Tamandua tetradactyla: one gene and its partners. The protein of the gene in region 1 interacts with the protein of each later gene in a pairwise test. Links are inferred from orthologs where the notes say so. Each region holds a gene or a part of one and is shown on either strand. Other genes may lie near its edges. The genes, in order: CNOT1, CNOT4 and CNOT11.

Region 1 (7,955 bases):
TACTTTAAATATTTTTCTGTGGCTTAAAAGTTAGCTTTGTTCTTTCATAAGAGAATATATCAAATTCTCAAGATAACACATTTCAAAATGGCAGATTACTATTTTTGTTAATTCAAGAAACATAAATACTGTACAAAAAAAATCACCATCTTAAAATACATTCAATTAGAATTACTGTGGACCCATTCCCTTCTGTGGTGGCAATGGGTGCCAAAGATTTTTTACCTCATAGAATGATTTAAATAAAGAATCAAGTTCATAAATTTAAGCTCATTAACAAAAAAGCTTCTTGTAACTGAAACAGAATTTAACCAAAAACAGCACACTTGGAAAAGCAACATATAAGGAAATTTTAAGAAGTCTTTCTTTTTTAACAATTTTATTTACACACCATACAATCCACCCAAAGTGTACAAGCAATGGCTCTTAGTATAATCATAGAATTATGCATTCACCAGACATTAGTCTTTAAAGCACTTTTTGAAGAGAGTTTTGTTTTTAACAACTTAACGCAAAGGCAAGAGGATGTCACAGTACAGGTTAGGGAGACCAGGATTTAAACCTCCAGTAGAAATTTAGAGACCAGAAAGAAAAAAAACACTAAACCAGGCATCCATCCAACTGCCTTAGAAACCAAGGAAGAGTATTTCACTTCTGTTACACAATGTCACAAAACCTTGCCTTAAAAACTTCTAAGATCACAGACTTAGATAAGAAAGGCAAATATTTTCAGTTCATAATGTAATGGTCAAGTCTTTGTGCCTTGATTCTAGACTTGAATTTCCACTAAATGACTTGTGACCCTCTCTTGTTGAAATGGGACAAATTTTCCAACTTTCCGAACAAGTTTTATCCACATGCCACCATTTCAAAGTATCATCAATTCATTTTTCCCTTAGACAAGGTAACAATTTGCAGAGTCCTAAAACAAGACTATTTAAACTGTTACCATACACCTTATTAATATCTAAAATGCAGGACTGCCTATCTTTGGAAGAGAAGGAACCTCACACAAATCACTTTCCAACCTAAATACTTAACAAAAACAAATTTGTTCTTAATCTGTTTGACATACTTTCAGAATTTTTACTGCCTTTCTCATCATTTTTTTATCCATGTATCACTATCCCTATCGAACGTCTGAACGAGACGTTCAGAATCTCTTTCAAAAACAAATACTCAAACTCACTCAATTACGACTGTTAAAGAAATCCCCAAGTCGTCACAGACAATTGAATTGTAAGGAAATAGGCAGGGAAATAAAATATTGGTACAGAATGTTCAGGAAGAAAACAGACTTGAATTAAAGTCCTAAGAAATGTGACATCTGACCGAGTGACTTCAGGGGCAATAATTTACTTCTCTGTTAATAAAGTTTACTTTAAACACATTTTCAAACACACATTATCAACCAGTTGCGTGCGTGTTTCAACCAACAAAGCTTACGCCTCGTGGGGGTCACATCTGTTTGAGCACTGGAAAAGGATATTTCCAGTGTGTTCGGCCTTAAGTGACCCCTGCAAGATCTAAAGCAACTGTCTCACCAGCACTGAGGCCTGCAAGTGTTCAGCTCACTAGGGGGGACTCCCCATGGATGAAGACCGCTGCTAAGGGAGACACCGGGCGGGTAGGTGGGGGGTCGACGTCGGACAAAGTCTGACCGCACGGGCGCGCGAGTGGAAGTAAACCTGTGACCAGAAGTAATAAGGAAGTGCTCGCTCCCTCCCGCTCGCCCCTCCCACCTACAGACACCCGAAACATGGGGATTTGACAACGTGCTGGGGGCTAGGGGAAGACCGGCAGCACCCGGTACTTGGACAAGAACTGGGAGTCAGTAACAACTCCAAACACTGTCCCCCCTGCCCATGGAGTTAGGCCTCGGGGGCCAATGCCCACTACACCCATCTGAGAGCCTGGAGAGGAAGAAGCAGTTGCGGAAGGCTGGTGGAGTCCGAGATGGATGCAGCTCGAGCAAAGCGCGGCCCAGGCCGACCGAACAGTTGCCGCCACCGCCGCCCTCAGAACCTCCAGGCCCGGGCCGGGGGACCACTCCGGGTCGCAGCCCGCGCTCTGCCATCCGGTTGCCAGAGCTTTCGGGACGGCCGCTTCTTTTCACTACCTGAAGGTGCCGCGAGCGGTGGAGAGAGCCCGCCCTCCCTCGCCTGGCCAGTTTCCCGTCCCGGCTGCCCCTCGCTCCTCGAAGCTCTGGGAAACGCTTCCAATGGCCCTAGGACCACCCCCTGTGCGTTCACCCAAGCTCTCGCGTTCCGTAGCTGACATGGCCCGCCTATGGCGGCCCCTGACCCAAACCCACCTCACCTTAGGCAGCTCCGGCGGCGCTGGACACAGGAAACTCCTGGGTCCCCCGACTCCGGCTTTCCTCGACCCCTCTTCGGTTAACTCCGCTTGTTTCTCTACAAAATGGCGCCGGAGGTCGCGCGCTCACGTCGCGGCCTTTCCCCTCCCCGTTCCCATTTCACCATTCGTTGCCCGCCCGTGGAGGGATGGCCCGACCACCAGCCAATGATCATACCCAGCCCATAGTGCCCGCCCAATCACCGACAGGTGCCCGCGGATTTAAACCAATCAAGCCCCATCACTTGCAGAAGTCAAGGAAGAAACCAAGCTCCTGCTAGCAACTACCAATCCGGACTCCTACTTCTCGGGTTTTGACCAATTGCCGCTCACCAGTCCCCAGGGACTGGAGTTAGCGTTCTCGCGCCTGCGCGCGAAGCGAGGACCAATGGAGAGATACAAATAACTTCGATTTCAGGGTCCACGGACGTCCCACCTGCCCTCGAGGTCTTCGACCAATGGGACCTTGGCATTGCTTCCGAGAAACAATAAGTAAGGAAAGGTGGTCCACAGCCCCTCGCCACTCTACGCGGTAACAATTTTGAGTTCGGCATTAGACAGCATTCCTCCACTTTCCTTCCTTTTTCGTAGTGTCACAGTCCGGTCGACTACAGGACTTTCAAGCCTAAACATCCTCCTCCGATCCTGTCCCTTTCCTCGCCTTGTGGAGTAAGGCGAGGACCGCCAACAACCGGGAAGCAAGCCAGGTTAGGACTAGTGTGGTGGCGCTGTGCGCCCTGGGATGTGTAGTTTCCTCCGCCCCCCGTTCCTGACGCAAATCTAACGCGTCCACTTTCGTCACTGGCAGCGCCTGGGGAGAAGCAGTGCATACTGGGGAATGTAGTCTTCCAGGACCTTCACCTGGTCATAGGTTGTCCCGCTTCAGTCAAGGGAACTTCTTTCACCTAGATTTAGGGACGCCTTATGGAGAATTAGGAAGCTAAAGTTCTCTTCCTGATTTAAGCCCTAGAACCGCTATCAAAAAGGTCACTTCTATCCTTTTACACTGGGGAAAAAAGTCAAAGGGACAGTTCTTTTTCTACTGGTGATAAAAATTGACAAAATCTGTATAGATAGTATTTTGGCCCAGTTTATCAAACCTAAAAATGCACAGACCCGCTGACCCAGTAATTGATCCCATGTCTAGGGATTTATTCCCCAGTTTTATTCGTGTGCACAAAGATGATTGAAGAATTATTTATAAAGAGCAGAAAGATTGAAAACAATAGGGGAATGGTAAATAAATGTATTGTACTGCCATGTACTGGAACACAATGAAGTTGTTAAAAAGAAAGGTACAGCTATACTCTTTGAGACCAAAAAAATTAGTTTTATTTTGTCCAGAACCTAAGTTTTCTGTAGCACATAATCTAACTCAACCAGTCTGGATAGATCACTTAAACAACCCAAACACAGGAACCTCAGAATGGGAATGAAGGCCTGTAATTCTGTATAGCTTAATATAATGCCCAGATACATCCCAGAGTATATTGAGCGTATATTTAAAAAGTACTGGGAAAGTCCCTTGAGGGATTGGAGAGAAAATATGGAACTATTAAACTTTACCACCAAGGAAAACACTGATACTGTCCCAAACTGTCCCAAGTCAACAGACCAAGCCCTTGAGCTTGAGCCTTGCTCTTGTGAAGCTGATTTATACAGCAGAGAAGGTTAGCCTACCTATAGTTAGTTATACCTAAGAGTTACTTCCAGAGGATCCCTTTTGTTGCTCAGATGTGGCCTCTCTCTTTCTAAGCCCAACTCTGCAAGTGAAATTGTTACCCTCCCCACTATGTGGGATATGACATCCAGGGGTGAAAGTCTCCCTGGCAACGTGGGATATGACTCCCAGGAATAAGTCTAACCCTAGCACTATGGGATCGACAATGCCTTGCTGACCAAAAGGGGGAAAAGAATTGTAACAAATAAGGTATCAGTGGCTGAGAGAGTTCAGATAGAGGCAGAAGGCTACTCTGGAGGCCAAGCTTCAACTAGATATTGCTGTTTATCATGGTTTGCCAAACTCCAATCAAAACCATTTCTGCCAACCCTTAAGAATACCTAGGGATTTATCTGAGATTCTACAAAGGTTCCATGCACTGTGATTACTTTCCAGAAACCTACAACCTCCAGAAGGTTCCTAGGCTGGATAAGTCCTGAAATTCAGAGTGGCCAGCCTCTCCAGTGCATCGACTAGTTCCATTCCCCTATACCATATTATTGACAGCCCTTTCCAACATGAAAAAATTAGAATGGACATAGCCCAAGTACCCCTAAATATTGGGAGAAAGATCAAAGGAGAAGATGAAGTTATAACAGAGTCCAAGATAGGATTTAACAAATGAATATGATTGCTGAATCATTATATTGATATTTCTTTTAGTCTCCAGCATCTTGGAGCAGCCAGAAGGAAACACCTAGAATTGTGGAATTGTAACCCATACTGTGCTGGTTTGAAATGATGTCTGTACCCTAGAAAAGCCATGTTTTAATCCTAATCCCATTTTGTAACAGTAGCCGTTTCTTCTAATTTCTATTCAGTACTGTATGTTTGAAACTGCGATTAGATCATCCCCTGGGGGTGTGATTTAATCAAGAATGGTGGTTAAACTGGATTAGATAGAGGCATGTCTCCACTCATTTGGGTGGGTCTTGATTAGTTTGTGAAGTCCTACAAAAGAGGAAACACTTTGGAGAATGAAAGAGATTCAGAGCGATCAAAGCAGAACAACATAGCCACGAGAAGCAGAGTCCACCAGCCAGCGACCTTTGGAGATGAAGAAGGAAAATGCCTCCTGGGGAGCATTATGAGACAGGAAGCCAGGAGAAGAAGCTAGCAGGTGATGCTGTGTTGGCCATGTGCCCTTCCAGATGAGAGAGAAATCCTCACTGTGTTCACCATGTGCCTTCTCACTTGAGAGAGAGAGACCCTGAATTTCATCAGCCTTCTTGAACCAAGGTATCTTTCCCTGGATGCCTTTGATGGAACATTTCTACAGACTTGCTTTAACTGGGACATTCACTCGGCCTTAGAACTGTAAACTAGCAACTTATTAAATTCCCCTTGTTAAAAGCCATTCCATTTCTGGTATATTGCATTCCGGCAGCTAGCAAACTAGAGCACATACCAAACTCTGAAATCTGTTCTGTTACTAATGTGTGCACTGTGCTTTGAAATTTATGGGTTTTTTGATATATGTTATTTTTCACAATTAAAAAAACATTTTTTAATTAAAAAAAGGTAAACTTATAGCTAGTGATATGGAATGATTACCAAGATTTCTTGTTAAATTTAAAAAGTGAAGATTGGGTGGGAAAGGGAATGGTAATAAAATCAGTGTTACCATTTGTATGGAAGAAAATAACTATATATTCCTGTATTTACATAGAACTAAATATATTAAAAGGTTTAGAAAGCTACATTACCCAACGGATATCCCTTTATCCCTGGGGAAAGGAATGGTAATGAGGAATGGTAAAGGGAATGTTTGCTTTTTATCCTGTGTATTACTGTATTATTTAAACTTTTTACAAAAGAAAGTATTCATGTTGTATTTGTGTAATTTAAAAGAGGTAGAAATTGAGACTGATAGAGGTCAACTAAGATCAACTGTGTAATTCTACAACTCTTTCAGGTCTCAAACCTAGAGCTCCTGAAATAAAGATCGGCTGAGATAAAGTTGAGGTGCCTTTCCCCACTTCAGCCCATCCTTGAGAGGAAAATGATTTGCTATTTTAAATTTAGGCTGCTCCAGACCCTTGAGCCACAGCCAGCCCCTCTCCCAGAGCTGCACAAAGCCACTCTTGGGATTTCACCCTCCACAAGTGCACTGTGTATTCAGTCACAGGACCTACAGAATTCCCCCGATAGGCTGGAGATCAGAGTCCATCAAGTATGTGTCAAGAATTCTGGGTGCCAAATAAAATCAGAAGGAAAGATAGACAATAAAGACTGAGGTGGTATAATCTAGGAATGCCTAGAGTGTATAATGATAGTGACTAAATGTGCAAATTTAAAAATGTTTCTGCATGAGGAAGAACAAAGGAATGTCAGTAATGCAGGGTGTTGAAAATAGATGGTAATTAATATTTGAAAACTTTAACCTATGTGTGAGACAACCAAAAAATGTTTCTTTGGTACAAAATTTATAGTTTGACTCGCGCATTTCCTAATATAACTTATGTGGACAGCTTAATTGAACACCATATTACATGGAACCTTGCGTAGGGCATGAGATTTTGTAGGTTTGTCCAGATTGATGCCCAGATAAATCCCAGAGCGATTCGAACAGTGAATAGGGAAGTATTTGCTGAGTTCCCTAGGGGGAATGGTGAGAAAGGGGGAAAATTCAACTTCCCCCAGTGGAGAATTCTTGATATTCTCACAGGCAGTGGGGACAGCCGAAGCAATAGGACGAGCCTCCAATTTTGAGGTTTGTTCATATGAAACTTAATCCTGCAAAGAATAGGCTAAGCCTACTTAAAATTAGGCCTAAGAGTCACCCCCAGGAGAACCTCTTTTGTTGCTCAGATTTGGCCTCTCTTGGACCGACACAGCAAGCAAACTCACTGCCCCCCCACTATGTGGAACATGACTCCCAGGGGTGTGGACCTTCCTGGCAACGTGGGACAGAAACCCTAGAATGAGCTGAGACTCAGCATCAAGGGATTGAGAAAATCTTCTCTACCAAAAGGAGGAAGAGTGAAATGAGACAAAATAAAGTGTCAGTGGCTGAGAAATTCCAAACAGAGTTGAGAGGTTATCCTGGAGATTATTCTTACACATTAAATAGATATTACCTGTTTAGTTAAGGTGTAACAGAGAGGCTGCCTGAAAATGTAGAGCTGTGTTCCAGTAGCCATGTTTCTTGAAGATGGTTATATAATGATACAGCTTTCACAATGTGACTGTGTGATTGTGAAAACCTTGTGTCTGATGCTCCTTTTATCTACCTTGTCAACAGACAAGTAGAACATATGGAATGAAAATAAATAATAGGGGGAACAAATGTTAAAATAAATTTAGTTTGAAATGCTAGTGGTCAATGAAAGGGAGGGTTAAGAGGTATGGCATATATGAATTTTTTTCTGTTTTCTTTTCATTTCTTTTTCTGAATAGATGCAAATGTTCCAAGAAATGATGATGATGATGAATATGCAACTATGTGATGATATTGTGAATTACTGATTATATATGTAGAATGGAAGGTCAAAAGTTAAGAATGTTTGTGTTTGGTGCTTTTTGGTATTTAAAAACAAAAAGGATGTAATGGAGAGGCTGGAGGGAACTGCCTGAAAATGTGGAGCTGTGCTCTGGTAGCCATGTTTCATGAAGATAATTGTATGATGATATGGCTGTCACAGTGTGATTGTGTGGTTGTGAGAGCCTTGTGACTGATGCTCCTTTTGTCTACCTTATTGATGGACAAGTAAAACATATGGATTAAAAATAAATAAACAATGGGGGAACAAATGTTAAAATAAATTTAATAGATTGAAATACTGGTGATTGGTGAAGGGGAGGGGTAAGGGGGATGGTATGTATGAATTTTTTCTGTCCTCTTTTTATTGCTTTTTCTGAATTGATGCAGATGTTCTGA
Region 2 (8,039 bases), on another chromosome or scaffold:
AGGTAAACTTAGAAGTGGGAATTAATAGGGAGAAATACAGTCTTTATCACTGCAGTTGGTGTCAAGGCTGCAACAGTGTTCACCCTATCCCTTTTAACCTGGTGAAGATCTTCGCTGACTACTCTCCTCTCCCTCACCAATCTAAATTAGTACCCCCTCTCATACTCTCTCAAAACATCTTGTAAACACTTTCCATAGTATTCATCACCAGTCATAATTAAATTTAAGGGATTATATTTATGTTTATATATTTATATTTACTTATATGTATGATTATTTAATCTGCTGCCTCTACTAGGCACTATGCTCTATGAGAACAAGGAAAATGTTTTATTGCTCACTGTACTTCTATTCCACCAGCACCTAGCATAATACCTAACACAGAGAAGGAGGTAAAAACATATATAAAATAAACAGATTCCTCCACACTGAGGACTCATGAGGCAAGCTAGGTAACAGAATTTAATGTTGATTAGCATTTAAAATTATATGAGAATTAGTGCTTGCTTTAGCGGCACATATACTAAAATTGGAACAATACAGAGAAGATCAGCATGGCCCCTGTGCAGGAATGACACACAAATTCGTGAAGCGTTCCATATTTTTTGATGAATTTTGTTCTGAGTTTCATCCTACTCCAAGTTATTGAAAGCGTATAAGAATGAGCTAAATAAGCACAAAGAAGCTGGTATAGGAAGGAATTTGGCCGATCGGTGCACCAGTGACGTCAGTGCCTCCATGGTTCAGTCCCAGGAAGAAATGATTGAAAATTTGAAGCCATTACTTCTAGCTGGTATAGAGAGTAAACTATACACATTGATCTCGTGCAAAAAAATTGATCTTAGCTATGACCTAAATTGCCACAAATTATGCTCTGATTTTCAAGAGGATATTGTATTCCATTTTTCCCTGGGCTGGTCTTCCCTGGAACATCGTTTCTTGGTCCCTAATAATGCTCAGAGGTTGCTCCTTGGATTACCAGAACATATCTTTCAGCTGCCTAGATCTTTAGCTTCTACTCTCACTGCTTCTACCAGTCCAGCAATGCCAGATAATGCATCACAGGAAGAACTTATGGTTACCTTAATAACAGGATTAGCTTCTCTTACATGTAGAACCTCTATAGGCATCATTGTTGTTGGAGGAGTGATCTGGAAAAGGTAGGCTGGAAACTCATATCTGCTTCTTTAAGTATGTATGGAGCTTTGTGCTTTATGAAAGACTGTCCTGGACCACTCGCCCCAAGGAGAGAGTCTTTAAACAGCAGTTTGTGAACGGTGCAACCAAAACTGCAGATGATTGTTAGCTTCACAAGTGCAAACTGCAGTCATCAAGTACAACAGAAGGCTACCACTTTTGTGCACCTGTGCCAACAAGTTGATATTACTCAGACACCTGAAAGAAAAAAATGCTAGATTATCCAAAGAAATAGATCAGTTGGAGAAGATACAAAATCCTTCAAAACTCTTAAGAAATAAGGCTGTTCAATTTGAAAATGAGCTGAAGAATTTTACTAAGCAGTTTCTATGTTCGAGCAATGAAGAAGACTCTTAACAATAGAGTGCTTTGGTGAACAGCATAGGAGGAAACAGAACTTGTAAGATTGTGACACTTGTAATTTTATGAAAACACTTCAAATATGAAATTCTACTAACTGTACCTAAATAGCAAGTCCCTGTGAAGAGTGTGATAATGATCTATTTCAGGGTGTTTGCATTTCTGAAGAGTATTATAATGTATTGATGTCCTCGGTTTTAATTTTGGGTAAAGAAAAGTCAGGTTATTTGATGTGTTAAAATAATGAATTCATTAAAAGCAGCAGAACCAACTCTGTGACACTGAGGGTTGGGACCTTGAGCTCTGTGCTGGTTTGAAATGATGTATGTACCCTAGAAAAGCCATGTTTTAATCCTAATCCATTGTGTAAATGCAGCTGTTTCTTCTAATCTCTATTCAGCATTGTATGTTTGAAACTGTAATTAGATCTTCTCCTTGGAGATGTGATATAATGGAGAGTGGTTGTTAAACTGGATAAGGTGACGACATGTCTCCACCCATTCACGTGGGCCTTGATTAGTTTCTGAAGTCCTATAAAAGAAGAAACATTTTGGAGAATGGGAGATTCAGAGAGAGCAGAGCAGAATGACACAGCCACAAGAAGCAGAGAGCCCACAAGCCAGTGACCTTTGGAGATGAAGAAGGAACATGCCTCCCCGGGGGCTTCATGAAACAGGAAGCCAGGAGAAGAAGCTAGCAGATGATGCCGTATTCGCCATGTGCCCTTCCAGATGAGAGAGGAACCCTGACCGTGTTCACCATTTGCCCTTCCAGATGAGAGAGAAACTCTGTGTTTGCCATGTGCCTTCTCACTTGAGAGAGAAACCCTGAACTTCATCGGTCTTCTTGAACCAAGGCATCTTTCCCTGGATGGATGCCTTTGATTGAACATTTCTATAGACTTGTTTTAATTGGGACATTTTCTTAGCCTTAGAACTGTAAACTAGCAACTTATTAAACTCCCCTTTTTAAAAGCCATTCTATTTCTGGTATATTGCATTCCAGCAGCTAGCAAACTAGAACAAGCTCTTAATTAGGGTTTTTTCCTATTTTGATTCTGAAAAACTCTGCTTCCTGGCATCCAGGAGTTCAAGAATGCTCCTCTCATCTTCTTTGTCAAAACTTATTTTTGATGCCTACTAACGACAATAGTCACTTTTTTGTTCTTTCATTAATTGTGCTGCTCTAACCACCAGTTGAGGAGTATGGAATGTTTTTGAGTGTATTATTTATGCAAGTTACAATCACTTTTGCTGTCAAGGCAGATATGTAAGCCACTAATAAATGTGCTGTTTTATTCTCATTAAAACTGGTGTAAAAAAATTATGAGAATTAAGTGTTGCATGGACAAGTCTATATGAAATTAGACACATATATATACATGAGGAATTGGTAATATAATGTAGTAAAAAAAGCATTGGCTTGAGAGGGTGGTGACAAAGTCACTAACTAGTTGGCAACCTAGGAAATACCATTTCCTTACTCATAGGTCTCTATCACTTAATGAGTCTCAATAGGTGTGGTATTGTCCCCAAGTGTTGGATACTTGGGGGAGGCCCTACCGGCCTCTAGAGTGCAGAGGCCAGGTATGCTAGACTTGGTGCAATGCAGGGACTATTTCTCACAATGAAGTGTTTCATGTCCCTCATGACTTTCAAATGTCCTGCTCTAGATGAAAAACCTGTTTAAAATGATCTTAACCTAAAACATATTAAAAAAAAAATCTTTATTTTACATATGAACACAAAGTTTTTAAAACATAGTTCAGGGAATGCATCTACTATGAACAGTGAAGAAAGACTAGTGTCCACCAGAGATGGCCAAATACTGTACTTGTGTCAGTATTTGTAGCTGTCACTTTCATTGGAATTTTATTTATAAGTGCAAGCAAATGATGATTTTGTTATTTTCTAACATTGTCATGTCTGAGCTTAACTATATATATTGAAAATCATGTATTGTGGACGGAGGCTATATTACGTATATATTTCATCTTAGGATAACAAAGGACAGTATAACAATATTTGTTATTTAAAAAAAGTCTGGTAAGATAAGGTGCGAACCATTGGATTAGATGATGCTTAAAATGCCATCCAGTTTTACTGCTATGGTTCTAATCTTCAATAATAGAAATGATCCATTTCTTCTTTTAATTTCATTCTTTTTATTACTTTGTTTTTATTACACTATAAAAAGGATTATCGACACAAGAAAAATAAACATATTAAAAAAATACATATCACCTATACTGAATGTTGAGGCAGTAAGCTGCATAAAGGTAGACCCCAATGATTTCCCAAGTTTCCTTATTAGGTAGTCATTTCACGATTCTACAATTTCAAATTTATGGTAAATGTGAGTTTATACATTTTATGATTATACATCTTAATTTTTCACCAAGTAATTATTGGTGAAGAAATTGAAACATAAAGAACTAACTTGTATTTTTAAAAAATGTCAGGTTAGGTTCATATCTCAAATTACAACCTTTTCCCTACTCTTCTCCCTTGTTTTAAAGTTCTTCCTTATTAGTTTTGACATACCATACATTTTTAATAATATATTTAAAAAATTGATTTGCCTTCTCTTCTTTCTCCCCACACAGTAGAATGGGGAAAGGGAATCTCGTCTGTTTAGCTCACTGTCTATTCCCACCTTCAAGAATAATGCGGGGCACAGAGGCGCTCGATGAGTACTTGTTCTATGAATGGGTGAAGAATACACGCAATAAGCAAAAGCGACTGTTTCGAGCGCCACTTTCACCGGCGTTCTAGGAGGCCACAGGAGGGACTAGTAAAATGACTGATTTTTATGATTGAGAATACCCCGACACTCCTAGGGATTGCGGATGCCTTCTTATATTCTTTGGGATATGGTGATGTGTGCGGAGCTTGTTTTGAATTTGGCTCACAAAACCATGCAGGGGAGAATAAGCTGCAGTAATGTGCATCGAGTTCCGCATAATGTTCTCACATTTACATCATTAGAAATACATGTCTTATACGTGTATGGGTCTTTAAATCCTGTGTACACTGTGCACAGGACAATTTCCGATAATTTTTTTACCAGGAGACTTGCGGCGAAGATGGGATTTAGGGTGGTTACTGCCAAAGAATACAGTTCCTCCAAAAAGAGCAAAGATGGGGAGACGAGTAAACGCTCACTTTCCGAGAACAGAAGCCAAGTCAGTATCAAATTCTCACCCTAGATCAAATCCCGCGCTCCTCCTACCCACGACTTGTCTCTATCCCGCCTCCTTCAGATCTGTGGTAGGTGGAGCAGAGGACAGTTGTTCTCGGGTCCCCTCAAATTGGTTACACCTGCCTCGAGTTTGGGTATCCCATATTTCAGCAAACAGCGAGGAAAGAGAAAGATTAACGATACTGCCGCCCAAATGACAGTAGAGCTGAACACGCGGATAGAGACAGGGGCAAAACACGAAGAAAGGCAGCAGTCTAGCAGCCACGTGAGGTGGGCGATCCCGTCAGCCCTCGGAGTTAGAACTTCAACTCCCGGCTTGCAGCTGGGCGGTTACCCTCTGAGTACTACAACTCCCAGAGTGCTGCGGGAGCGGCCGCAGCAACCTCCCATTCCGTCGCCAGCCGCTCCTCCAGCCCCTCCCCCGCCCCTCCAGGCCTGATCGGCGTGCGCCTGCGCACGAAAGGCCGGAGGAGTCTTACCCTAATGTAAGATGGTGGCCCGTCTGGCTGTGGAACCCACCGAAAGCTGATAGTCTCTCTCTCAGCCGTAAAGGTCGGACTCGCTGAAGCAATCAAGCCTGGTTCTGAAGAGTATTTCCCCCGACAGTCTTTCAGTGGTCTCTTGTGTGGACGAGGCAGTGCGAGGAGTCGGCTAAGGGAAAAGCGAGGCAAGGCAGGCGGGTGAGTCTATGCGGGGCTGGGTTTAGGGGAAACCCGGGGCTGACCGGCTACGAGAGAGCGGAGGCTTCGCAGGGATTGAGCAGGCCGCACCCCCCTTTCTCCCCACCCCCCGCCTCATCTTCACCCTCCTCCTTGGTCTTCCTCCTCCTCCTCCTCCCTCTCTCCTCTACGCCACAGCAGTTACCACCAGGAAAAGGGAGCGGGGCAGAAGGCAACGGCGGCGGCGAGCAGCAACTCTCCTTCTAAAATTTCTTCATTTGGGAGGCCGGGGCTGCTTCTTCAGCTCTCTTCTGTATATTTTTGTTGGGGCAGGTCTTAGGTCTCAATACTTGTTTCTCCAGCTCTTTCCCTTCTCTGACGTCCTTCCCCACTGCCTCTGGTCTCCCAGGACCAAAGCCATCACTTCCACTCTGACTGGTGTTGCTGCTGCTTATTAATCCCACCGCTCTTTGCCCACTTGTCCTGCTGCTTGTTTTTTTCCTCCACTGCTACTACTCTGGAATTAGCCTTTGCCCCTCCTCCCCCTTTCTGCTTGCATTCAGCCCCGGTAGTCTGTATGCCACATTAGAGCTTCTTCCGATCTTTGCTTTAACCACATGTCATTTTAAAGCTGCCCCTTAAATACCTAGATTATACTGCTGCCCGATCTAACCCACCTGTTTCTCAGCCGTGGGAATTATCCGCCCCTTCCCTCTTTCCTAAACAGATTCTTTCAACATATAATTCCAGAAAAAGGGATGCTCCATGTTGACCCTCGAAAAGTCAAGGAAGTTGGGAAGTGAATGAAGTGAGGTAGGATACTATGAGACATCATGAGTAAAGATCATTTATTCAGACTACCCAGAAGAGGAACGTTTTCGTTTTGTTTTCAGTGATCTGTTTGTGGATTACTTACTCTGTTGGGATGTCTATTTTTTTTGTTTTGTTTTCATTTTGAACCGATTTCCCCTTACTAAGTGTTCTCCTGAATTGTCTTTCTCAGGCTACTTAATATGGGTTCGGATTATACCAGCAAATATTACCCTAAGCATTTCAACATAAGATAAATCTGGTGCACAAACAAAATTCATTTGTGAACTTCACGAGCAAATATGATTTTTTGATTATATGTGGGTTACAGATCCCTTCCATATTGTGCATTGATTATTGACCAAGTGAGTTATATTATTGAGCTTAATTGATATCTTATTTGTGGTTTGAGTGGAAATTTCCTCTTCTAATGTCATATTTACTTAGTATTTGTGTATTTGCAAAGTTCTCTCATTTAACACATCTAGAGTGGTAGTTATCTGAATAAATTGTCTTCTCTTAAAAATCCATTAGGTATGTTTGCAAAAGAAAAATGGTATTTCTTTTGCATATGAAATCCCTCATATTTTATCCATAGAAAAAAGGACTGGTAAAAGAAATGACAGAGCTGTGCACATAATATGCATTTCTTGACACCCACTGGCATTGTTACCTACATTGAAAAGCAAAAAACAAGAAACGAGAGATTGCTTATGATGTCCATGTTTTGGCAAAAACAGAAATTGAAATGGACTGGTTAATGGCATAATGGAAAGAAGGAGCCTTTACTACAGTCAGTCCACTGTGAAATAATTACCAGAAAAGCACAGAGGATTATATAGATCAGATACAGTCATCTCAAGTTTAAGCCTAAATAAGACCTTGTGTTCTTAAGATGTATGTAAAAATGTTTTAAGTCATAGTATCGATCTCAGGCAGCAATATATCTATCAAAAGTAATAATATCTTAAGTATAAATACAAATACAGTTACCCGTTAGTCACTTTTGCACATTTCATCTGTGAAATTTGAGGAATCTAACATTTGGTGTTATATTTACTTGATTGTGATGAATGGTCTATTTTATCAAATGGTAAACTAAGGTTAGAAAAGCTGTTTATAAAGCTTCTTTTTTCCCTGTTAACCATTTAAGCCCTGATTTGGGAAAAATAAGTAAATCTCTACTCTTTGGAGAATTGGAAACAATTTACATAGACAACCTTGTCTTAAGTTATAACTTGAAATTTTCTTGAAATATTATTTACACTTAGTTTAATCATTTGTAGCGTATATAATACAGTTAATCTTCAGCTCCAAGTAAAAATATATACTTCATTTTTCTTTGTAATATGTTGATGAAGAAACCTTTCTACTTTGAACAAGCCTGACACACACAGGTTTAGAAATCCTTGGCAGTGGAAGGATTCTAGGAGAGGATTGTTTGTCTGACAGAGGGGGATAAATGATTTTCATACATCATTTCTTTCGTAAAGATATTTGCCTCACTATTTTTTTCTCATGCTTTTCTGTCATTCTTGCTTATTGCCTGAAACCGTTAAATTTTTAGTTGTAGCCCTCTGAATCAAAATGAATTAACTTTGGGGACTTAAGGGTGTCTATTTAGTGTGTCTGTTTCTAAAGTTCTCCGTGATAACTTTGACAGGAAATAGGGCATTGAGATTTCTAAAATATTTTTGCATGGTTTAAGTTTTCAGATGTAACATTTTGCATATTACAACTTCATACTTTCATAGTTTCTTTGGATAATTTGAAATACGTTCTGCCAAGTTTAATATGTTGAATTCTTTAGCT
Region 3 (7,121 bases), on another chromosome or scaffold:
GCAAGATCATGAATAAATTCTTTTCTTCTCCATAATCGGGTGAGCGTTTATTCTCTTTCAGGTATGGCTTTCTTTCTAACACAGCCTATTACCTACCTCTAGTGTTTCTGGGTTACCGGTTGGGGGGGTAACACCCACCTCCTTCCCCCCAGGGAACTAAACGGAAAGAACTTAGAAATGTAATTAAAAAGATGCAAGAACAAAAAGGAATTCTAGATGCCAAACACAACTAATGCAGATTCAAAGAAATGGCCAATTAATTAAAAAATCCCAGGACACTGAACTTCTTTTTCTTATATTAATGAAACGGAGAGAGCCATTCAACACGTAAACAGATGGTAAGGCAAAAGCATCAGCTATTAGAGAAGAGGGCGTGACAACTGTGGGGCAGCATGGTGTGGCTGACACCGGGGTATGGCAGGGTAAGGCAGCAGCCCCTCTCTGCTGGGAACAATGGGGACCCCCTCCCAGCACCATAATCCCCTCAGTACAAGGAACATGGGATGGCTGCCTCCAGAGCGATGTCTCCAAACTATAATATTACAGGAAAGTGATTGGTTTGGGACAGACTGGGTTAATAGACCTAATGTTTCCTGGGAAGCTCCGAACAGAACTCAGTGTTACGTGGCACCAATTTATGACCCCGGTTGTCCCCGGGTTGGACAGGCAGCTGCACTCTAGGACCACTCTGGTGTCAAGGGAGTATTCCTAAGACTTTCCTGAAAAGCAAACTCACCAGGAAAGAGGCGGGACAAGGAGTTCAGGCAAAGACTTTATCAGGGAGATACAGAGCCACCTGGGGGTAGACGCAGCGTTTCAAGAGAGAAGCAGCCACCTCGAGGTGGCAAGGGATAGGGTTTTTAAGGTTTAACGCTGGGGGTTGGGGGAAAGAGTTAGGTAAGGTTCTATTATCTAGTTTTCAGAATTAGGGGGTTAAGTTAGGAGTTGGCAGTGCTTCACTGGTAAAGTTAAAATTTAAGTGGTGCCTGAAGCATGCAGGGTTGTGATCGCCTTCTGCCTGTGGGTGGAGGTTGAGTAATGGGGGTTATTGTAAGAGGGCAGTTGCTGGAGCATGAAAAGGTGCAGGCTAGGGTGCGAGAGCTGTTTGAAATGTTTGCCAGAGGTAGGTCACATCATGGGGGGAAGGGGTCCTGTTCTCCAGGCCTAACATTTACCACTGGGAGCAAAATCTACCACTGCTAAAAGTTCCATGAGCCTGGTCAGTATTTCATTGGTACAATCACCTGGTCACTGTATTTCTGCCTTCATTAGGCATAGAAGATGTTATATTTAGGATAGAAGCACTGAAAAATTTTATTCAACAAGCTTTAAATGACAGCCTCAACAGTGTATCTCTTTTAAATAGTGAAACAACTCCAATGAGTAAAGCAGTACGACAAAACCAAGGGCTCCAGTTGTTTTGATAGCTTTGCAGGGAGGGACACATGGTATAATAAAAACTAAATGCTGTACCTATATACCGAATAAATCTGACAATGTAGTTAAAGTGTTAGGACATTTGAAAAGTCAAATTTATGTAAGAGGCTCTGGACCCCTCTCCTTTGGCATATTTAACTCATTTAGCTGGCTTTCCACAGGAATAGTATCTTGGTTTTGTTCAATATTACAAGCAGGACTAATGATATTACTACTAATAATTACAAACATACTTATCTTTAAATTCTGCCTCTGTCTCTTATCCCAGCCTTGCCCAGACAGTCCTCAAGATTGGGGGGAATAAATGAACAAGAGTTAGGAATTGTCCTGAGAAATTAAGAATTAACAAATGATTATGATTACTGAATTGTTATATCGATATTTTTTCTTATTATCTAGTATATTACAGAAGAGCCAAAAGGAAATAGCTGACATTACTGAAACCCACTGAATTGCAAACTGTAAAATCTTCAGGACCGGCCCCACCTTGTACCCCTTATTAGTCTTATCATCACAAAGGCAACCCCCTGATTTTAGGGGACTGGAGTCAGCTCAGAACTATTGACTTGTTTCTGTTTTACAAGTTCGGAGTCTTATAATCACAAAGACAACCCATTAATGTTAATGAAAGAAGCCGAGTCAGCCCTAACTTTAACCATTGGCTTGTTCTTGTAATGGTTATTCTAGTTTAGTTCTAGCCTAGCTCCACTCCTTTACATTTGTAAACTGTAGTTGATTAAACTTGTTATAATAATGGTAACAGCTCCATCTCTCCTTGTTTGAATCAATAAAAAACCCTAAACTCCTTAGACTAAAAGAGACAGATTTTTAGGCTGAAAGGCCATCTGAGCTCTCTCTTTGAAACTCCAGTGCCACAGACTGGCTGTGATACACATAAGACACAAAACCCCGGGTTTGTGTGAAATCAAATCCACAAAGCACAGCATTCTGAGGCCACTCTGTGCACAGGACAAATTGTTTTCCATACTGGTTTGGCCCTTGATGTCTTTACCGTATTATGAAAATACAGTTACAATGATGATGAAGTTAAATTGTGTTCTGTACAGTCGGTCTAAAAAGAGAGGGAAATTTGTGACCCATATGAGAAAGAATTAAAAAGGTTCAGTGTACTATTTCAGTTCCTAGGTATACTCAGTGATCAGATTGAGCTGATTTTCAGTGGGGTCCCAGGCTGCACTCAGTTACCAAGAGGCCTTCTGGGGCCCCAGAGCAAGCTCCTCTGGGCACAATGGGTGCGGCTTAATCTATTTTGCTTACTTCCTTTCAGTAATGAACAACACTGGCACATAGTAAATGCTCCAAAACAGTAGCAATTGTTAATGAACGCCCACATGCTGGCAGCCATGAGGTGGGTGTGGAGAACTACCTAGAACAAGTTTAGGTCCTGAGAGTTGGTTTCAAGAAACATGCAGGAAACTCTTGGATCATCTTAATCTTGAAAATGCAAAGAAAATTGTTTGGTTGCTTTAACCATTAATGTTCAGTCGTTTTGAAAAATCTTGGGAAAAACAGTAAAGCCTATTTATTTGTAGGTCTGATGATACAAACACAATCAAGTTTACTATGTTAAAAATAAAACAAAATGAGTACTTTCAACTAATCTGAACTGTTTTTCTCAAGAGTCCCAGCATGACCACGGTTATATTTGCTGCTGTTAGGTCTCTTTTTAGAAGGCAGTTTAGCAGTAAATTGAAGAAGCCTTCAAATTTGCACATCTGTGGCCCCAGAAATTTCACTTCCTTAAATTTTCTTTAAGAATTAAAATTAGGGAGATGCTTAACGTTTTAATACTTGACCTGCTTACATTGGGCAGCGCAGACGGAATTTCCCAAATTTGCTTGGTAAAATAAACTTTCTGTTGGTTTCTGTACCTGGAGGGAAGGGCCCGGCCAGTGCTTCGTGGCCCAGACTGCACTCTTGAGTAGCCGGGGGAGTTGTTTTGATTTCTTTTTGCTGTGAATACCCGAATCAGGAGGTGAGGCCAGGCGTGAGTGTGCCTAAAGCCTCCCCAGGAGCTCTAGCACGCGTAGCCACTGTCCGGAAGCAGCAGCCTAGGGCAGGCTAGGGGGAAAGTGGCACGGCCACAAATTGCGTAAACGAGTAACTACTGCAAACTTTTCCCGTAATACTGTTTAAAAAAAAAAAAAGTCCAAAATTTCACGGGCAGTACATTTTCATTCAGCAAAGAACGAGGATAAGACTGGAAATTAACTTCGATTATGAGAAATGGGGGGTGTCTTAAGTATGTGCATTGACAACGTTTTTACAGTCATCAATCTTGGATGTTATATTAAGAAAACTACTTAGAATCTAAAACGCGTTCTCCCTTAAACAACATACCAATATTTATCCGTACCTTCTCCGGCCAGGAACCGCCGTGGCGGCCGGCAGTGCCCGCTTCGGCTCGCAGCCGCGCACCAGATGAGCCCGGGCTCCACTGCAGGGCGAGACCCAACCCCCGCCCCCGCAGGCCCCGCCCCCGCAGGCCCCGCCCCCGCAGGCCCCGCCTCCCGCCCGACTGTCTGGCCGCGCTCCACCAGCCTCGGTTTCGTCCCGCACTGCCCGCCCTGCTCCGCGGCGTGGGATTTCCCCGGCGTTCTTGTTTACGACGCAGTCGTGCAGCAGCGCGCTTTACGACCGCGAGGACGGAGCGAGCCGGCGCCAGGCCCGCTGCGGCCGGGAAGCAGGGAGGGCGGGTGAGGTTGATGCCCGGTGGCGGGGGGAGCGCGGTGTCTGGCCGGCTTCTCAGCGCCGCGGAGCAGAGGGGGGCCCGGGAGGCGGTGGGGTCGGCGTCCAGGAGCGGCCTGGGAGGCTCGGGCGGCGGCAGAAGCGGCGCAGGCGGCCCGGGCCCGGGGAGCGGAGGCCCCGGGGGCCCCGCGGACAGGATGAGCCTGACCCCGAAGGAGCTCTCGAGCCTGCTGAGCATCATCTCGGAGGAGGCGGGCGGCGGCAGCACCTTCGAGGGCCTGTCCACCGCCTTCCACCACTACTTCAGCAAGGCCGACCACTTCCGCCTGGGCTCGGTGCTGGTCATGCTGCTGCAGCAGCCGGACCTGCTGCCCAGCGCGGCGCAGCGCCTCACGGCGCTCTACCTGCTCTGGGAGATGTACCGCACCGAGCCGCTGGCCGCCAACCCCTTCGCCGCCAGCTTCGCGCACCTGCTCAACCCCGCGCCGCCCGCCCGCGGCGGCCAGGAGCCCGACCGGCCTCCGCTCTCAGGTAGGAGCCGGGCGGGCGCGGGGGGCTCGGCGGCGCGACCCGAGCGTGCGCCGTGCGGAGTCAGATTCGGCAGCTTTCCATCTGCGCTGCTGAAAAATGATCCTCTGAAGTTGATCTCCCCCTTCCCGCCCTCTGTGGGTCTAATGTCCGGGCGGGGTGGGGTTGGCTTAATAACTAATTCACGGGACCAAAAATGACGCCTCTCAACAGTACAGGCTACCAGGTCTGCAGCTATGTGGGGCTTGACATTTTTAGTGCCTCAAATAAAGCCCGTTCGAGGTGTGTGGAGGTATAGCTCATGACGCTTTGGACCTGACCGGGGTTTTACGTCCCAGATGAGTAAACAGGAGTCAGTATTAAGAACTCGTCGAAGTTGTCGGCGGAAATACACATTAAGCAATATTTAAGGATTTTTCAGCTGTTTTCCTAGGTCTCTTAGGTGCCCTTGGATCATGAGATGGGAAGGACAGAGGATGGAAGGTGGTCTCAAACGCAGACTAGAAAATGCGTGACTAGTAAACATAAAATACATACTTGTACAGCATTGTTGAATCCGTGGGTTAGCTGAAGGGTTTTTGCATGTTTGTTTTTTTAAAGCTCAACTTGGAGATTTTTTTTTTTTTTTACGAGGATTTACTTACTTTGGGTGAAGACTTGCATCCATGTTAGGAAAAAAGCAGAGAGGGGAGATTATGGGTGGTAGGGGTATCTGGGAGATCTAGATGATAACTGTAGTGCACGAAGCAGATAGTTAGAGGTGGGAAACAGCTACATCTTTCAGCCCTTAACTAGTGTGAGAATGGGCAAGCCACACTATAGGTAGGGCTAGTTATGCATGGAACCAGAAAGTCAGATGAAAACATCACAAGAAAAGAAAATTACAAACCAATATCCCTCAAATAAAGGTGCAGAAATCCTCAACAAAACACATGCAAACTGAATCTAGCAACACATTAATAAGATTGTACAGGGCGGGCACTGGTGGCTCAGTGGCGGAGTTCTCACCTGTCATGCCGGAGACCGGGGTTCGATTCCTGGTGCCTGCCCCTGAAAAAAAAAAAAAAGAGATTATACATCCTGAACAAATGATTTATCTATTATAGGAGCATAAGGGTGTTTTAACATGAGAAAGTGCAAAACACCACATTAATAGCATGAAGGTAAAAAAAATAGCATTTCAATTGACACAGAAAAGGTGTTTGGCAAAATCCAGCACCATTTCTTGAAGAGAACTTAGGCATGATAAGGGGCATATATGAAAACCCACAGCTAAAAGTTAATGGTGAGGGCGGGCCACGGTGGTGCATCAGACAGAGTTCTTGCGTGCCACACCGGAGACCTAGGTTCCCTTCCCGATGCCTGCGCATGCAAAAAAATAAATTAATTAAAAAAAAAAAGTTGATGATGAAAGACTGAAAGTTTTTCCCCTGAGATCAAAGCAAGACAGGGATGCCTGGTTTCACCCCTGCTATTTAACATTGTACTACAGCTATGAGGCAGGTAAAAAGAAATAAACAGCATCCAAATTGGAAAGGAAGAAATAAAACTCTTTTTGTAAATGGCATGATCCTATAAATAGAAAATTCAAAAGAATCTACAAGAAAGCTTCTATAGCTAATAAGTGAAGTTAGCGAAGTGTTGGATTACAAGAGCAATATGTAAAAATCAGTTGTGTTTCTACATGCCAACAATTAAGAGTCCAAAAAAAAATTCCATTTACAATAGCAGCTAAAATAATAAAGTATCTAGGAATAATTTTTTTTTCACATGGGCAGGCACCAGGAATTGAACCTGGGTCCCCAGCATGGTAGGCAAGAACTCTGCCTGCTGAGCCACTGTGGCCCACCCTAGAAATAAATTTAATCATGGGTATATAAGACTTGTACAGTGAAAACTATGAAACATTGCTGAAATAAATTATAGGAGACCTAAATACATGAAAGATATTTTATGTCCATGGATTAGAAGACTTAAATTGTTAAGACGTCAATACTGTTCAAAGCAATTTACAGATTCAGTACAATCGCAATCAAAATTTTAGCAGCCTTTCTTACAGAAATGGAAAAGCTGACCCTCAAATTCATAATGGAATGACAGGGAGGCTTGGACTACCAAAACCATCTTGAGAAAGAAAAACCAAGTTGGAGGTACTCATTTGCTGATTTCAGAACTTATTACAGACTGTGTTAGTTAGATTCAGTTGTCAACTTGGCCAGGTGAGCATACCTAGTCTTGTTGCTGCGGACATAAGCCAATGGTACATGAACCTCATCTGTTGCCAATTACATCTGCAGTCAGCTAGGAGGCGTGTCTGCTGCAATGAGTGACGTTTGACTTAATTGGCTGGTGTTTAAATGAGAGATTGCAACCTAACACTGCTAAGCAGCTCCGCATTCCTCATCTCAGCACTTGCAGCTCAGCCCAGGCCTTTGGAGATGGAGAAA

The links.
Region 2: the proteins of CNOT1 (region 1) and CNOT4 interact in a two-hybrid assay, tested with the Homo sapiens proteins (3 studies listed by BioGRID and IntAct, with this or other methods). The link is inferred for Tamandua tetradactyla from reciprocal best matches to the Homo sapiens genes CNOT1 and CNOT4.
Region 3: the proteins of CNOT1 (region 1) and CNOT11 interact in binary tests that used the Homo sapiens proteins (3 or more experiments, as listed by UniProt). The link is inferred for Tamandua tetradactyla from reciprocal best matches to the Homo sapiens genes CNOT1 and CNOT11.

Annotation. Positions count from the first base shown.
Region 1 is NC_135342.1:52,306,356-52,314,310, forward strand, and holds the start of CNOT1 (CCR4-NOT transcription complex subunit 1), read right to left. Parts: upstream 3,105-7,955; 5' UTR 2,792-3,104; exon of another isoform or gene 2,682-2,791; intron 2,415-2,681; exon of another isoform or gene 2,320-2,414; intron 1-2,319.
Region 2 is NC_135327.1:178,202,458-178,210,496, reverse strand, and holds the start of CNOT4 (CCR4-NOT transcription complex subunit 4), read left to right. Parts: upstream 1-4,984; 5' UTR 4,985-5,438; intron 5,439-6,144; exon of another isoform or gene 6,145-6,167; 5' UTR 6,168-6,230; intron 6,231-8,039. UniProt on the Homo sapiens protein: Has E3 ubiquitin ligase activity, promoting ubiquitination and degradation of target proteins. Involved in activation of the JAK/STAT pathway. Catalyzes ubiquitination of methylated RBM15.
Region 3 is NC_135343.1:6,824,554-6,831,674, forward strand, and holds the start of CNOT11 (CCR4-NOT transcription complex subunit 11), read left to right. Parts: upstream 1-4,075; 5' UTR 4,076-4,163; coding exon 4,164-4,677; intron 4,678-7,121. UniProt on the Homo sapiens protein: Component of the CCR4-NOT complex which is one of the major cellular mRNA deadenylases and is linked to various cellular processes including bulk mRNA degradation, miRNA-mediated repression, translational repression during translational initiation and general transcription regulation.